Callithrix jacchus: one gene and its partners. The protein of the gene in region 1 interacts with the protein of each later gene in a pairwise test. Links are inferred from orthologs where the notes say so. Each region holds a gene or a part of one and is shown in the gene's direction. Other genes may lie near its edges.

The links. The genes of interacting proteins can lie anywhere in the genome.
Region 2: the proteins of CRK (region 1) and PSMC6 interact in binary tests that used the Homo sapiens proteins (3 or more experiments, as listed by UniProt). The two-hybrid records come from large-scale screens. The link is inferred for Callithrix jacchus from reciprocal best matches to the Homo sapiens genes CRK and PSMC6.
Region 3: the proteins of CRK (region 1) and DPPA4 interact in binary tests that used the Homo sapiens proteins (3 or more experiments, as listed by UniProt). The two-hybrid records come from large-scale screens. The link is inferred for Callithrix jacchus from reciprocal best matches to the Homo sapiens genes CRK and DPPA4.
Region 4: the proteins of CRK (region 1) and USP53 interact in binary tests that used the Homo sapiens proteins (3 or more experiments, as listed by UniProt). The two-hybrid records come from large-scale screens. The link is inferred for Callithrix jacchus from reciprocal best matches to the Homo sapiens genes CRK and USP53.

Annotation. Positions count from the first base shown.
Region 1 is NC_133506.1:66,779,967-66,784,095, forward strand, and holds the start of CRK (adapter molecule crk), read left to right. Parts: upstream 1-1,329; 5' UTR 1,330-1,449; coding exon 1,450-1,690; intron 1,691-4,129. UniProt on the Homo sapiens protein: Involved in cell branching and adhesion mediated by BCAR1-CRK-RAPGEF1 signaling and activation of RAP1.
Region 2 is NC_133509.1:87,260,229-87,264,193, forward strand, and holds the start of PSMC6 (26S proteasome regulatory subunit 10B), read left to right. Parts: upstream 1-1,165; 5' UTR 1,166-1,176; coding exon 1,177-1,261; exon of another isoform or gene 1,262-1,546; intron 1,547-2,273; coding exon 2,274-2,353; intron 2,354-2,447; coding exon 2,448-2,487; intron 2,488-2,733; coding exon 2,734-2,786; intron 2,787-3,965. UniProt on the Homo sapiens protein: Component of the 26S proteasome, a multiprotein complex involved in the ATP-dependent degradation of ubiquitinated proteins.
Region 3 is NC_133516.1:100,617,561-100,621,756, reverse strand, and holds the start of DPPA4 (developmental pluripotency-associated protein 4), read left to right. Parts: upstream 1-1,396; 5' UTR 1,397-1,455; coding exon 1,456-1,479; intron 1,480-3,099; exon of another isoform or gene 3,100-3,340; intron 3,341-4,196. UniProt on the Homo sapiens protein: May be involved in the maintenance of active epigenetic status of target genes. May inhibit differentiation of embryonic cells into a primitive ectoderm lineage.
Region 4 is NC_133504.1:78,358,269-78,362,444, reverse strand, and holds the start of USP53 (ubiquitin carboxyl-terminal hydrolase 53), read left to right. Parts: upstream 1-1,376; 5' UTR 1,377-1,538; intron 1,539-1,769; exon of another isoform or gene 1,770-1,803; intron 1,804-2,572; 5' UTR 2,573-2,717; intron 2,718-4,176. Other genes in the region: uncharacterized protein LOC144581759, read right to left, coding at 1,190-1,323. UniProt on the Homo sapiens protein: Deubiquitinase that mediates 'Lys-63'-linked deubiquitination of tight junction proteins, such as MARVELD2 and LSR, and which is involved in the survival of auditory hair cells and hearing.

The DNA of each region.
Region 1 (4,129 bases):
CAAGGCCTCAAAAGAGAGAACTCTGCTCCCTTTGCTTTGAATGTCCTTCTCCATTTGCCATTCAACAGTTAACACATGCCACCTCCTCTGGGAAGGTTTCCTGGATTACTCCATAGACTGGACTGGGGGCTCTGCTCTGTGTCCATATCTGTCTCCCATGATAGCGCTCGTCAGCATTTGTCATCCTTTTGTCATCCAGTTTCCTGGTTCCTCTCACTAGTCTGTGAGTTGGAGGAGGGCAGGGCCTGGCCTCCATCACCTTTGCACCCACAGTGCAGGCAGAGTGTCAGTAACGATATGCTGAATGAATAAATGGAAACGAGAACGTCAGCGGAGAAGCGAGAGGAATGCACACAAACAGACCGACGTGGCCGGGCGCAAATGGCTGTCGCCTGTAATCTCAGCACTCTGGGAGGCCGAGGCGGGTGGATCACCTGAGGTTAGGAGTTTGAGACCAGCTGGCTAACAACGTGAAAACCCCATCTCTGCTAAAAATTAAAAAATGAGCCGGGTGTGGTGGTGGGCACCTGTAGTCCTAGCTGCTAGGGAGGCTGAGGCAGGAGAATCGTTTGAACCCGGGAGGCAGAGGTAGCAGTGAGCAGAGACTGCGACACGGCACTCCAGTCTGGGTGACAAAGCGAGAATCCGTCTCCAAAAAAAAAAAAAAAAAAGAAGCTGGACGCAGTGGCTCTTGCCGGTAATCCCAGCACACTGGGATGCCCAGGCGGGCTGATCACGAGGTCAGACGTTCGAGACCAGCCTGGCCAACATGGTGAAACTCCATCTCTACTAAAAATACCAAAAAAATTAGCCGGGCGTGGTGGCGCGCGCCTGTAGTCCCAGCTACTCGGGAGGCGGAGGCGGGGGTTGCAGTGAGCCGAGATCGCGTCACTGCACTACAGCCTGGGCATCAGAGCGAGACTCCGTCTCAAAAAAAAGAAACAGACCGACACTTCAGGAAGCCTGGCCGAAAACTCGGGGGGGGGTTACATGCATCTTTTCTCCTCCAGTTCTGTCTGGGAGTCGCTATCTAGAAGACCCAGGCCTTCCGTGAACGATAGCCTGGTTGTGGGGGGTGGGGGAAGGGCCACCGCGGCCAGTGGCGCAGGCGCACATCTCTGCGGCAGGCGGTGAGACCCCGCCCCCACGCCCTAGACCCCGCCTCCCAGCCCCTGGCCCGGCCAGGCGGCACCGCCCATGAGGCCGCATGCGCAGTGCGCGCGCGAGGCCGCCTTGCCCTTCTCCCAATGGCGGGCGGCGGGCCCTTTCCCGGCAGCCTCCCCAGGGCAGGGAGCGCGTCATTTCCGGTGGGGAAGACCCGCGGCCTCCGCCGCCATTTCGGGCGCTGCTGTGAGGTTGAAACCGGAGCCGGTCTGCTGGGCGGCGGGCGCCGTGGGCAGGAGGGGCGCGCGCGGCGCGGCAGCCCAGCGTGTAGGCGCGGAGGCAGCCATGGCGGGCAACTTCGACTCGGAGGAGCGGAGTAGCTGGTACTGGGGGCGTCTGAGTCGGCAGGAGGCGGTGGCGCTGCTGCAGGGCCAGCGGCACGGGGTCTTCCTGGTGCGGGACTCGAGCACCAGCCCCGGGGACTATGTACTCAGCGTGTCCGAGAACTCGCGCGTCTCCCACTACATCATCAACAGCAGCGGCCCGCGCCCGCCGGTGCCGCCGTCGCCCGCGCAGCCGCCGTCCGGTGAGGGACGGACGGGACGGACGGGACGCGGGGGCTGGGCGTGGTGAGGCCCGCGGAACTGGCAGCCCAGCCGGCTGCTGCTCCAGCGGACCCTCGGGGGTCGCGGGCCGAGGGCTGGGGGACCGCGGCGCCCAGCCGGGGAGCGGGAGCGTCGGGAGGAGGAGCCGCGGGCCGAGGCCCCTGGGTGTGCCTGCGGAGAGCGGCCCGGGGAAGGGGAACTGCTTCGGCCCAGGGTGGGGCTGGCTCCCGGGCCCGGCGCTCGGGGAGGGAGCGCAGGGCAGCGTGCGGACAAAGAGCCGAGGGAGCTGTTGGCACTGCGGGGGCATCCCTTGGCAGCGGTGCCCAGAATGAATCCGGTAATCCTGCAAGTGGCTTTTAGGCTGGAATCGTTTCCTGCCGGGTTTGGCCGTGCTCCCCTGGTGGCCTGGGGTGGGAAGTCACCACGTACTGGCCGGGAGGGATGGAGACACCCTCAGGAAGCCGGTCCGTTTTTTCCTTTCTTGGGCATTTTTCCAAAATACTTCCACCGTCCTCTTCCCCGGTTGAGGACGAAGGGGGTGAACTAAGTGCCTGGGTGATCGGAGGACGCCTTCAGGAACCAGTCCGACCCGCTGTCGGGGCATGTTGGCGGTGTCGGAGCGATCTAAGCGTCCCCGTAGGCTGCCCTCCGCTGTTATAGGCTCTGGTTCTCAGTGTTTAGTGGAGGAAAGACATCTTATTCCAGAAAGTAAACCAGAAGTGAGGCAATGGAAACAGCCCCATCCCTGGAAGGATCTGGAACTTGATATTCCCTGGGCTTGAACAGGGTCCGTGTGTACTCCAGGGCGTGACCTTGCCCCGTGAGCCGAGACTGCGGGCTGGATCTTCCTGGATGTTGGGAACAGACTGCGCAGAGGACATGAATGGTCTGCACGGGGTTTCCTTGCCGGGGACCCCAGGGAGGTGACTGCCTTGCCGGTGACATTGAGTTGTTTGGGAGGGTTAAGGGAGTAGATTTGTGTCCTTAGTGCTGGAGACTGAGGTGCAGAGTCATTCTGAGGTCCCGTTAGATGTGTATGTCTGTGGAACAGCGTCAGGACTTCTCGTGCCTTCACGCTGTTGCCAAGTCCAAGCAGCTTCTCTGCCAGCTTAGACTAGCTCCGGGCTAGCCTCCTATGAATCTAGAAGCTCCTGAGTCAGCCTTTGTACGCTTGCCCTTGTAGGATAGTTCTGATTTAGAGTTACTTTCTGGCCAGAAATAGAGAACTGGATGGGCAGTTTCTTTGTGGTTAACACATACCAATATTTATTTTACTTTTTTCTGAGATGGAGTCTTGTTCCGATGCCCATGCCAGAGTGCAGTGGCGCAGTCTTGGCTCACTGCAGCCTCCACTTCCTGGGTTCAAGCGATTCTCCTGTCTCAGCCTCCCGAGTAGCCGGGATTACAGGCGCGCACCACCACGCCAGACTAATTTTTGTATTTTTTTGTTGTTTTGTTATTGTTGTTGTTTTTATTGAGACGGGGTCTTGCTATGTTGCCCAGGCTGCACTGCAGTGGCTGTTGTTCACAGGTGCGATCCCACTACTGATCAGCATGGGAGTTTTGACTTGCTCCATTCCGACCTGGGCCGATTCACCCCTCCTTAGGCAACGTGGTGGTCCCGCGCTCACGGGAGGTCACCATATTGATGCTGAACTTAGTGCGGACACCGGATTGGCATAGTGCACTACAGCCCAGAACTCCTGGGCTCAAGAGATCCTCCCACCTCAGCCGCCCTGGTAGCTGGGACTACAGGCACGCGCCACTGCGCCTGGCTAATTTTTTTTTTAGTAAAGGCGGTGTTTCAACATGTTGACCAGGCAGGCCTCAAACTTCTGACCTCAGGTGAACCGCCTGCCCCAAAATATTAGGATTACAGGCATGAGCCACCACTCCTGGCCCAGCACATAACAGTTTTTAAAAATGAATATGGGGTCTTTATATTCACAAATTATTCTGGGTCTTTCTCATTCTGGCCAGCTTAATAGTATTGTAATATGAGATGGGAATATTGATGCACATGTGTTTGCCTTTAACCAGATTCTATTCTACTTTGATGCCACCTGCATGGTATCTAGGGTTTTGCATTTCACATAGTAACATGATGGCAAACTGTGATTGAAATCACTTTTCAGCCTTTTGTTTCACACCTCAGTGTAATGATTTTCTGTCTCAGCACTTACTTTGATATTGAGCACCACCTTTTCAAAACAGATAAGAGCTCAGTTCCTTGGCCCAGGACAGAAGGCGAAGATTGCCAAAGTTTGTGGACGGGGTGTGGAAAATTCACAAGTATTGTGATAATTCTTTCTGCCATGTACCCTGTATTCCATGATTCAGTTGCTGTCTTTCTCTCGATTCTGAGACAGGGCCTTTGTCACCCATGCTGGAATGCAGTAACATGAGCACCGCTCATCCTT
Region 2 (3,965 bases), on another chromosome or scaffold:
CCAAATCACAAAAATCTGAAAGTTGGCCAGCCGTGATGGCTCACACCTGTAATCTCAGCACTTTGGGAGGCTGAGGCAGGCGGATCACTTGAGGTAAGGAGTTCAAGACCAGCCTGGCCAACACAGTGAAACCCTGTCTCTACTAAAAATACAAAAATGAGCTGAGCGTGGCGGCGGGAGCCTGTAATCCCAGCTCTCAGGAGGCACGAGAATTGCTTGAACCCGGGAGGCGGTGGTTGCGGTGAGCCGAGATTGCGCCACTGCACTCCAGCCTGTGTGACAGGAGCGAGACTCCATTTAAAAAAAATAATAATAATAATCTGAAAGTTCTATCAGCCTTCAGAGTTCCTGCCTCAGCCTACTTCCGCATCTTTATCTTGCACCCCACGTCTCTACAACCCACCCGCTACTGGTACCATTGGCCTTTCTGTTCCTGGAAGTGAGCCAAGCTTTCTACCCACATCCCGCCACCCCACCCCACTCCAGGACTTGTGCTTTCTGTTTCCTTTGTTTAGAAGGTTTGCTTCAGTTGTTGCAAGGCTGGTTTCATCTCATCTCAGATATCTGCTCTAGATTAATTTTTCCCACCATACTTCTCACCGTATTTTAATTCCTTCATAGTATTTGCTATACTCTCAAGGTTTTTTTTTAATTATTTCCCACCAAATCATAAGCAGATTTATTTTTAATACCTCATTCACTCACTGAAGGGTTGAATAAAACTGCCTACTTCTGAACGTGGAGGTCTTGGATAGCACTGTGGTATACGAAAGGCCATCTGTGTTGTGTCGACAGGCCATCGGAACTCTTTTGAGGTATTACACATTTCCTACTTCACTTTCATCTCATTTTATTACACAGCCTTTTATAGTTCCGGGACAGCAGTTAATACTGAGGCCTCTCCGGGGAAGACCGGGTAACTGCGTCCTGCTTTACCCATCTTGGCCTGCAGGGGACGGTGTGGTCGGAGTCCCCCTTTAGTGTACGCCGGCGTTCTAGGTGAACCAAGACATAGAGGTGGGAGAACTGAAGTAGAAAGGCGGGGCCAACAGGAAGGGGCGGGTCCATGGGCAAACCCACCCCTACAGGCCTGGTTTCGTCCCTTGCCCCGCCCCTTCCCCCGCCCTGACGGCCATGGCCATTCCCGGCATCCCCTATGAGAGACGGCTTCTCATCATGGCGGACCCTAGAGATAAGGCGCTTCAGGACTACCGCAAGAAGCTGCTTGAGCACAAGGAGATCGACGGCCGTCTTAAGGAGTGTGAGCGCACCCTTCTTTCTATGTAATCAAGTGCCTCGACTCGCTTCTGCCTCTAACAAAGTAGAAGCCTTTGGCCGAGCCCGGTAACCGAGACTTAGATATGACCAGGCCTCGGTCCAGGGACAAGGCGCTTTGTCATCCGGCCCTGAGCTTGGGGAGCAGCACTCCTTCGTGTGTAGAAATGGCCCAGTCCAGTCCAAGTGACAGAACATCCGCGGCCCTGAAGTGGAAATGAAAAAGAACTAGAGGAGGAGTGGGAAGAAGTAGGCCGAGGATGTTACTCAGGTTAGGGTGCAAGGAGGGCAGTGTTTTTGGAGTCCTGGGACTCGAAGAGGGGAAGGCGCTTGAGTCAAGGAAGCTCAAACAAGAGATGAGACTCAGGGAGTCGGCTTGTTGGAAGTAAAAGACGGCCGCGGAGCTTAAGAGAGAAGGGTTCCAGTTGTCACAATAACCCATTTCGTCTTTTGTCGTGTTTCCTGTTGTACTGTATCAAGGCATACAAATTTCCCTTACCTCTTGAGGGCTTAACTTTTTTTTTTTCCAGTGCATTTTCATTGAAAAGCATGAGTGGTTTAATTAAATGAAGGAGGACTGTAACTAAGTGATTCTGTGGAGAACTCCATTTTTTGACTTGAGGTTAGAATATCAGAGAAGAATCCAAGTGGGTAGGTGAATAGGTGAGGAAGGGTCTAACTAACTGATTATCATTCGGATTTGTAGTCGCAAATCCTAAGTGTCAATGTGTCAATATCTGTTAAGAATATAACTTAATGTGCTTAAACAAGTGTTGCCGATCAAGAAAATAAAATTACGGTGCTTTCTCTGAAACATTTTTTTGTTGTACATGCCACCTACTATTACAAACAGCATTGTTTCTTTTGTGGTTTGAAATAGTGGATGTGAAACTTAGGTAAAGTGAAATAGACTTAAGTAAACACTAAAGTGAGATTTAGCGATTTAAACACATTAAGATTACTGTTCAACTAAAAATGTTCAAATTGTATTATTTCAGTAAGGGAACAATTAAAAGAACTTACCAAGCAGTATGAAAAGTCTGAAAATGATTTGAAGGCCCTACAAAGTGTTGGGCAGGTAGGTAATGGAGTTTGGGGATTAGCGGGTGATGGTAATTTGCTTTTTTATTTAGGTGTTGCCAAAAAGTAATGCTTTTTATTTTCTTCCTTAGATTGTGGGTGAAGTGCTTAAACAGTTAACCGAAGAAAAATGTGAGTGAATTTAGATTAGTAATTAGTAAAGAAACAGCTCACCTCTCTCTAACTTTTGAAATGCATATTATTTCAAAATGCATAATGACACTAATGCAGAGAGAGAGTATTTTTGCATAGACTTAAGTTTGTCTTCAACTATTGTCTTCTTGGAGGACAGAAAATAAAACTAAGCCCTCTATCAATGTGGATATGTATTTTTTTACTTTGTTTTTCAATTACTTCTTTTTTGTTTTTTTCTTCTAGTCATCGTTAAAGCAACAAATGGACCGAGATATGTTGTGGGTTGTCGTCGACAGGTAATACTTTTTATTTGTCTAGTGCTTGCTGATTGATAAAAGCAGTTTCATGTAAGTTATTGTCTCTAATTCTTGAGGCAAACAGGTTGGGCATTTATGCCCATAACTGACAAGGGTGATTTGTTCAGACATAGCTAGTTATTAACAAAGCCTGAATTCAAACCATAGGCTTTGACTCCTGGCATTCTCTACTTTCTACTGTATTACATTGTCTCAGTCAGATCTATTAACAGTGACTTAGAAATCAGTGTTTTAGAACTGGAAAATAGGCATTTTATGTTAGTATCTTTTTCATGTGTGTGTGTGAGAGACAATATCACTCTGTCACCAGGCTGAAGAGCAGTGGCACGATCTTGGCTCACTGCAACCTCCAACTCCCTGGTTCAAATGATTTTCCCTGCCTCAGCCTCCAGAGTAGCTGGAATTACAGGCATGCACCACCATGCCCAGCTAATTTTTTTTTTGTATTTTTAGTAGAGACTGGGTTTCGCCATGTTGGCTGGGATGGTTTTGATCTGACCTGGTGATCCACCTGCCTCGGCCTCTTAAAGTGCTGGGATTACAGGTGTGAGCCACAACACCTGGCTTTAATGTCATTTTTAAAGAGGACTTAGAAGTGTTAGATACGATCAGTTACCTGTGTTTATATTTCAGCATTCAGAACTGTTACTGATAAGACTGTACCATGGCCTAAGTTAATTTTGTATGAGGTCATTTAGATTAGGGTAGGACAAGTTGAAATAATTCTGAATTTTATTTTACCGTCACTAAAGATGCCAACAAATGACCTCAGGTCATTCAGTAGTGTCTGAAATCAATTTATGTACTATAGGAAGTGTCCTTAGGTAGAGACTTCTTTTAAATTCATTGGAAGAGCTCTGTGTAATTGTCATTTTGGGTTCGGATTTTAAAACATTCACAGGACATGGCTGTAGGGGAGAATTTAATCCAGGGAATAAATCTTGTATTAAGATTTTGCCTAGTATATTAAGTGGTTGACATTTTTTAAGTCAAACTATTAGATACCTAAACTGACAAGGGGTTTTTATGTCCGTTTCAGGGCTTTCTGGATGCCAAAAGTTGGCATTAAGATATTTCAGGTTGCATGAGGACAAGACAATATTTGAAAACTAGAAAACATTAGAAAAGCCAAGGTATATATAAGTTGAGTATCCCTTA
Region 3 (4,196 bases), on another chromosome or scaffold:
CCACCTCAGTCTCCCAAAGTGCTGGGATTACAGGCATGAGCCACCACGCCCTGACTGAGTTTTAAACTCACAATTTGATATAAAGAATACTTGGGCTCGGAGTGCTGGCTCACACGTGTAATGCCAACACCTTGGGAGGAGAAGGCTGGAGAATCACTGGAAGCATAGAGTTCGAGACCAGCCTGGTCAAAGTAGAGAGGACCCCGCCCTGCCCACTCCCAACACACACACACAATAAATAACATACTCTATAGACGTTTTTTTTTTGAGACGGAGTCTCCCTCTATTGCCAGGCTGGAGTGCAATGGGAAGATCTCGGCTCACTGCAACCTCCGCCTCCTGGGTTCAAGCGATTCTCCTGCCTCGGCGTCTTGAGTAACTGAGATTACTGGCGCGCGCCACCACTCCCAGCTAATTTTTGTATTATTATTATTATTTATTATTTATTTTTTTGAGATGGAGTCTTACTCTGTCGCCAGGCTGGAGTGCAGTGGCGCAATCTCTGCTCACTGCAACCTCCGCCTGGGTTCAAGCGATTTTTCCGCCTCAGCCTCCGGAGCAGCTGGGATTACAGGCGCGTGCTACCACGCCCGGCTAATTTTTGTATTTTCAGTAGAGACGGGATTTCACCCTGTTGACCAGGATGGTCTCGATCTCTTGACTTCGTGATCCGCCCGCCTCGGCCTCCCAAAGTGCTGGGATTACAGGCGTGAACCACCGCGCCCGGCCTAATTTTTGTATTTTTAGTAGAGATGGGGTTTCACTATGTTGGCCAAATTGGTATCGATCTCTTGACCTTGTGATCCGCCCACCCGGGCCTCCCAAAGTGCTGGGACTGCAGGCTTGAGCCACCACGCCCGTCCTACTCTGCAGACTTTAAAACCTATGATTACTAGATCATTGGCAGATGAAAAAGATGCTGGGTGTTGGTACAGACAGAAACCTGAGTTTTAGTTGGTTGAGTAACTCCCTTAGGAAATGGAATGTATTCGGTGGGAGAAAATAGTTTAGCTTTCTTCAAGCCACCAGTCTGGTCCCTGAAGTCTGCTGTTTCCACATGTTCCATTACTAAATCCCTTTCCACATCCTGCACAAGTCAAGTCTCTGGCAACTCCCCCCCCCCCCCCCCCCCCCCAGGAATTGTTCTGCAGGAGCCTTTTACCTCTCAAGGTCTCCGGAACCATACTTTGGATAATTACATTAAAAGTGCACAGAAAAGGGCCAGGAATGGGATTAGTGATTCCACCCCTACAAAAGTCCCCTCATGAATAAGAAAGGATACAATTTCAGCATTTACAAATTGTGGGGGAGGGAACAGAAGGGGAGCAGAAAAGAAGAGGTGGGGAGAAAAAGGGTCTTTGGGAGGCAGGAAGTGGGAGGAGACTTTGCAAACAACAATCTGGGGCCAGGGGCCATTTTGGAAGCATCTGGCCAAGCTTCGCTTCCTGTCCGAATATGGAGAAGGTAAAAGGCAAGGAGGTCGGTACAGTCTTAGTGAATGTGTTTTCTGTCTTTGTCTCCTCGTGTTTCTGTCTTCCCTGAGCACTCCTGATTATTATTATTATTATTATTATTATTATTATTATTGAGACGGAGCCTCGCTGCGTCGCCCAGGCTGGAGTGCAATGGCCCGATCTCGGCTCAGGGCAACCTCCGCCTTCTGGGTTCAAGCGATTCTCCTGCCTCAGCCTCGCGAGTAGCTGGGACTACAGGCACGCGCCACCACGCCCAGCTGATTTTTGTATTTTTAGTAGAGATGGGGTTTCACCGTGTTGGTCAGGCCGGTCTCAAACTCCGACTTCAGGTGATCTGCCTTGGCCGTCCCAGGTGCTGAGATTACAGGTATGAGCCACCGCGCCCGGCCCGGATTTGTCTTTTAAGGAGAAAACAATGTACCTTCGGGTTTTCTTCTCTTGCCTCTTAGGAATAAACCCCAAGAACATGATTGCAGCCTGGTACAGCGGAGTAAGAAATGAGGTTTGCTAGGTTTAGCTGAGGAGAGGAGGTTGAGGGTGTCAAGAGATGGGGACCAAGAGAGAAATGAGGTGTTGAGGTTTTGGTTTTGGGAACAGGGTCCCTGCGTGTCTCCCAGGCTGGAGTGAGCATCACTGCTCAGTGCCACCTTGACCGCCCAGGCTCAAGCGACCTTTCCGCCTCGGCCTTCCAAAGTGCTTTTGGGCACACGCCGCTGCTCCGGGCCCGGGTGTTCTGTTTTGAAGAAGTGCTTTGTCCGGTCGGAAGAATTAACTGAATATCGGGGCCAGAGGGAAATGGTTACAGGAGAAAACCGGCGGTGAGGGAAGATTTTAGGAAGAGGTCATTGAGCTGAGGTTGGAAAAGCGTGAAACTCCTTAATTCCCTTTAGATGGACACGGATCCTAAACCAAAGGTGCTGGGTACGAATTTTCTTTTTCCCAGTGTCCTTAGGATTTAGGAGCAAGCGGAGCCAGACATTGGCAGCCGCACAAACTGAAGGAAGAGAGCTTTTGAGACGTGTTGCACATGCACTGAACGGCCATATTTGAGCCTCTTTACTTGAACCGGGTCGTTTTTAACTCTCAGTTTTAAGTCTTCGTGAGGTCCAAAGTGAGTAGTTCTTGTAAGGGTTACGCAAAGGTAAATTTCAAATCCAAATGTAGACCTGCTATAGAGATGTAAAAATGCCATACAAATGTTAATCTGTGCAGTAATCCGCCTGAAAGTGAAGAAAAAGATTTAGATTTAGGGGAATTTTTTTTTGGTTTTTAAAAATGTTTATTTTATATACAAAGAGGTATAATGGTTTTTCATGAGGCCGGGCGCGGTGGCTCAAGCCTGTAATCCCAGCACTTTGGGAGGCCGAGGCGGGCGGATCACGAGGTCAAGAGATCGAGACCATCCTGGTCAACAAGGTGAAACCCCGTCTCTACTAAAAATACAAAAAATTAGCTGGGCATGGTGGCGCGTGCCTGTAATCCCGGCTACTCAGGAGGCTGAGGCAGGAGAATTGCCTGAACCCAGGAGGCGGAGGTTGGGTGAGCCGAGATCGCGCCATTGCACTCCAGCCTGGGTAACAAGAGCGAAACTCCGTCTCAAAAAAAAAAAAAAAAAAAATGGTTTTTCATGGTAGATGTCTTGGATAATCCTTTGAAGACCATTTAGTCCAACTTAATGAAACCTATATCCTTCGCGTACTGACGGAAACACTGGCGGCACATATTGAGACCGTATTTACGTATCAAACAGTGCGGGTTTGAACAGACTCGTCAAGAGCGAGAACCCTGGCCGAATTTTCGCGGGTGGCTCCAGTACAGCTGCTGGTGACCCATCTTGCTCTCAGAAAGGCAACGAGGTAAAAGGCTAGGGGAAGTTTTAGATTACATTTTTTTAATTTTAGAGACGGAGTCTCGCTCTGTCTTCCAGGCTAGAGTGCAGTGGCGTGATCTCAGCTGACTGCAACCTTCGCCTCCCGGGTCGAGCAACTCTCCTGCCTCAGCCTCCTCAGTAGCTAGGATTACCGACTAGTTTTTTGTATTTTTGGTAGAGACGCGGTTTTACTTTGTTGGTCTAGCTCGTTTCGAACTCCTGACCTTGTGATCTGCCCGCTTTGGCTTCCCAAAGTGCTGGGATTACAACTGTAAACCACTGCACCCGGCCTAAACATTTTTATTTTTTTAACGAGACGAGTTTCTTTCTGTCACCCACGCTGGAGTGCAGTGGCTGATCTCGGCTCACTGCACCCTCCGCCTCCCAGGTTCAAGGGATTCTCCTGACTCAGCCTATCGATTAGCTGGGATTACAGGCGCGCAGCACCATGCCCAGCTAATTTTTGTTGTTGTTTTGTTTTTTTTTTTTGTTGAGAAGGAGTCCCGCTATGTCGCCCAGGCTGGAGTGCAATGGCGCGATCTCGGCTCACCCAACCTCTGCCTCCGGGTTCAAGTAATTCTCCTGCCTCGGCCTCCCGAGTAGCTGGGATTACAGGTGCCTGCTACCACGCCCTGCTAATTTTTGTATTTTTAGTAGTGATGGGGTTTCACCATGTTGGTCAGGCTGATCTCAAACGTCTAACCTTGTGATCCACCCGCCTCGGCCTCCCAAAGTGCTGGAATTACAGGCATGAGCCACTGCGCCCAGCCAAAGACAATTATTTTTATTCTAAGAGCAATAAACCGCTGAAAGGATGTAAAGTTTTCATAGTGTCACTCTGCCAGCAGTGT
Region 4 (4,176 bases), on another chromosome or scaffold:
AAGAGACTGCTCAAGGAGACATGAGGATTAACATTAAACAGAAACAGCAAAAGAAAATGGAGTGCTGGAGAACACAGAGACCAAGCAGAACAAAAACAATATTTAAAGTAGCTGTGTAATGAGGAGAAAATAACATTAGGGAAACTGAAGGGAGAGTTGATGGTGTGCTCTTATTGTTTTAAAAATGCAGAGTAGGCCCTTTCTTCCCCAACTCCTCCCAAAGTTTTTAGTATTTTGAGGGCAGAAGCCACGGCTTCCTTTCATTCTATTTCCTACAGTGTCTAGTTCAGTACAGGGAACATAGTAAATGCTCCATACATTCTTAAGGATTCAGTCTAGACATTACAAACGGGTCCCATTTGTCGCCTGTGTCAACGTCGAATATTTCTTCCCCGTTTCTTCAAATAAAATTTTAGAAGTGCCTCTGGGTTTACTTAAATCCATTTTTTACAATCAGTATTTTCTACTTACACCAGATTTGCAATTGAGTTCCAAAACCTTATTTACTTCAGAGATCTTTGATATCAATGACGATGGGTTTTGCTTTTACTACTATTCCTAAGAAACGTTTTTTAAAATCAAAGTTTGGCATAATTCCCCGCAGTACTTTTTAAACTTAAAATCTGTTCGAAAGCACGGTGAGAAGGCGGCCAGTCTTTTCTGACAATCATTAACCAGGACAACAGGCTTATTAAAGCTATCTAATTAAAGGCCACGAAACAACCGCTTGGGGAGTACCCATTCACGCCACAGGAAGTCATTTAACTGCAAATAGATCGTCTAACGACTCACAGAAAGCTATAGGAAACTGAGTGTCTGCTTGGCGTTTTGATGACAAGCTACGGATTGCTCTCTCAAGCGACATCTAACCTAAGCGCAGTCCTCGGTGGATCCCCGTTCTCGAGCTTAGAAAATACTGAATGAACTACCGAGAGCATCAGAATAATCGCCTCCTCCTGAGGAACTAGCCTCTCTTCCTCGGTACACCAGACAGCACGTCCCACAACTACCTTTCACCCCACAACCAAGCTCCAGCGTGACGCTCCCGATTTGGGGAAATGTCTCCCGGTCTCGCGCGATCTCGCGCCTCCGAGGACGCCAACTATATCGCGCTCGCCATCAAATCCCCGCGGGAATAGAATTCCGCAGGTCCGGAAAGCCGGGAAATAGCGTGCGGAGGCGGGGTTACCTTGGTGAGCCTGAAGGCGGAGCCAACTCCGAGGGGGCGGGCTCGAGGCGGGGAGAGGGGCGGGGCTCCAGGGACCTGTTGATCGCAGGTGTCACTGGCCTGACTGGCTCCTGGGTATTGGGGCGTGTGCGCATGCTCCGCGCTCAGGGTCGGGCTCTGGGCGGCGGAGACCAGCCGTCTCTGCTCTAGTTCCCGGTGAGCCTTGGTACGTTGGCAGCTGTTGGTGTGTCTGGCGGGTGTCGGCGAGAAGCGGAGCTGGGCCAGCCGGAGGCAGCTCTGTGGGAGTGGAAGGCCAGTATTTCTCTATCTGGACCGTAAGCTCCTAGCGCAGAGAGGGTAGTAGCTCAAGGTAAGTCTCGGAAACTAGCCTCTGGTTGGAGATCCGGCGACCTGCGACCCCCGCGGGCCTGACCCAGCTACTCTCATTCTGGACCCCGACCACGTCTCTCTCCTCGCAGCCGGGAGACCTCCTCTCCCCGCCCGGCCTTCAGGGCACACACTCTCTTTACTGGGCCGTTCAGGCGCCGGAGGTCACGCAGCCCTCTAGTCCCTTCTTGCTGCGTCTGGTGGAGATGCCTCTGGCCAGGCTGGAGGCGCGCGCGAGGCTGGAGGAGGTGCTGTACTTGCTGGGTCCTGGTTGTTATTGCTGCCGTGTTTGCGGGCGGCGACGGGGCAGAAGTTGGAGTCCTTCTGGGGTAGTGAATATTACCCTTACTTGGCTCCTGCCTCTGGCTATCCAAGCCACGTTACCTCGCCTGACCACACAGTTTTTTTTATATAAAGGTGTCCAGGATGGTTATGCTCCCTCCTTGGAGAAGAGAGATGACTGGACTTGTGAGGTTCTTGGGGTGGTGGTTTCTCAGTGATAGTGGTGATTTATATAAAGTTAATGTTTAGCTTCCAAACGGCGGCTTATGGGGCATTTACTAAACTATTTTTAAACAGCGTTGGAGGACAGGAAGTACTTGCACAGGTGTAATAGGAAGGGTTTCTAAAACCTGCAATCAGAGGATGTTTTGAGGTTTGTAACCCTACTACAAGATTTTCTTTATCATTGCAAAGTCTGGAGTGCATTACCAGTTGGACAGCAAAGTTTTCCGAACGTTTCCTTATCTGGAAATAGATTTAGGTGTGTGTGTATGTATAAATATATATATTTTGTGAAGAATATCAAAGGCTATTTTTGATTTAGGTTTAACAGTAAACAAGAAGGAAGGGTTTTGTGATTAGGCTCTGATTCACTTTTAGTTCGTTCTTTAAAGAAAAGCCTTGCTAGTTTTTCGCTATTTAAAATGAGTAGCAAGTGTTAACACAAAATGTCTGATGGAAATGAACTTTTGGCTACATTGAAAACTTGTTAGTTTTATTTTCTGTTCTTTTCAGTTCCATGATGATGATCTAAGCAAAGACCCTTCGTCTTGTTAAAGATAAATTGTTTTAAAAACCCAAAGTGAACAAAACTTACTCTGCAAAAGTAATATATGATTTCTCTGCTGCTGTCATAAGAATTCAAATGGACAAACTCAGTGTAAGTAGGAGTTAATTATCGTCCGAGAAACAGGGTTTTTGTTTTGTATTTCAAAGACTTTTAAAATAAACTCCTTGATACAATTTGTCCAGGTTCTTGATTACTGGTGATAAACCATGAAAATGATTTGTTAAGATTTTTTCATTAATGAAACTGGTAGGTGTGTGTATTTCTTCCTAACGTGTAAAAAATAAGAGACTAAGAACTGGCCTTTCCTAAGAATTTAAAAATTTTTTTTGTAAATGTATGTAGATTGTATAAGTTCATGGAATATGACGCTAATTCATTAATATTATTTTCACTAAATGATGCGAAAGATAGTTTTTAAAAAGATATTTTAATGGGAAGTTAGACTTTTCCACCTAGTTTATTCTTTCCTCAAAAAAAGAAAAAAGAAAAATTACAGTACTCTTAAGATCTGCCATATGTGCTGTAATTCAAGTTCTTTTATATTGTTTAGTGTTAGATGTTTATTTTACACTATGTAGTATCAAGAAATACAGCTTTGATACCATATGGTTTACAAGTTTGTTTTAACAAGACAAAGTTTCAAAATGAACATTTTTATCTTATTTAAGGTTATATATAGCTTTAAAAGCCAAAATCAGAATTATTTTCCCTCCTGGAGCTGTTTGGAACTCTCTTACTTACTGGGGTAGGAGAGGGTACATTGCTTTACCCTACAACTTTCCAAAAATATATTTGATCTTTATAAAGTGGTGGATTAAACTATCCTACAAGGATGTTTAGTTATTAAAATACTTAGGAGATCCTTTTTGACAGCTTTAACTATAAGGTATTTCTTGCTTGTAGACCTCAAAACAACTTATAGAAAGTTGGTTAGTTTATATATTGCATTTGGTAGCATTTTGAACACAGTGTGCTAGGTGTGATAGGACCAAGATGATTGCCAGTTTAGCTTACGCTTGCTCACGAGCTCTTGTTTTAAGGAAGGAAGTGTGCTGATTTATGCCATCTTTGAAGAGCTAGGTAGAAATTAATGATGTTCAAATGTAGTATTGTTAATTTTACATTGATGATTTTTAGAAAATTTTGTATTACAGTATTTGTACATAATAGGAACAGGAAATGGATGCAACCTGTTCTGCTACAAGTAAAAATCCTCAAAGGTTAAATTTTAAATAACTTTATGTAATATCCTAATCTTTGCAGGTTATACATTTTTTTTAATTAATAGGAATGTCATAGATACCATGTACAGTATATAGAATATTCAGGCAATTAATGTTATATGTTCTTCCAAGTTAATGCATATCCTCTATCAGGAGTTGTTGAACCAAATGCCCATGATTAGAACTGTGGTCTGTGGTTATAATTGAGTTTTCATATAATTGGTTTTCTTTGTGATCTTAGTATTTTTTCTTTTTCTTTTTTTAATGCTATTAATTTCATTTTGTTCATTTACAAACATTATTCGAGGAGGCTTCATTATTAGGTC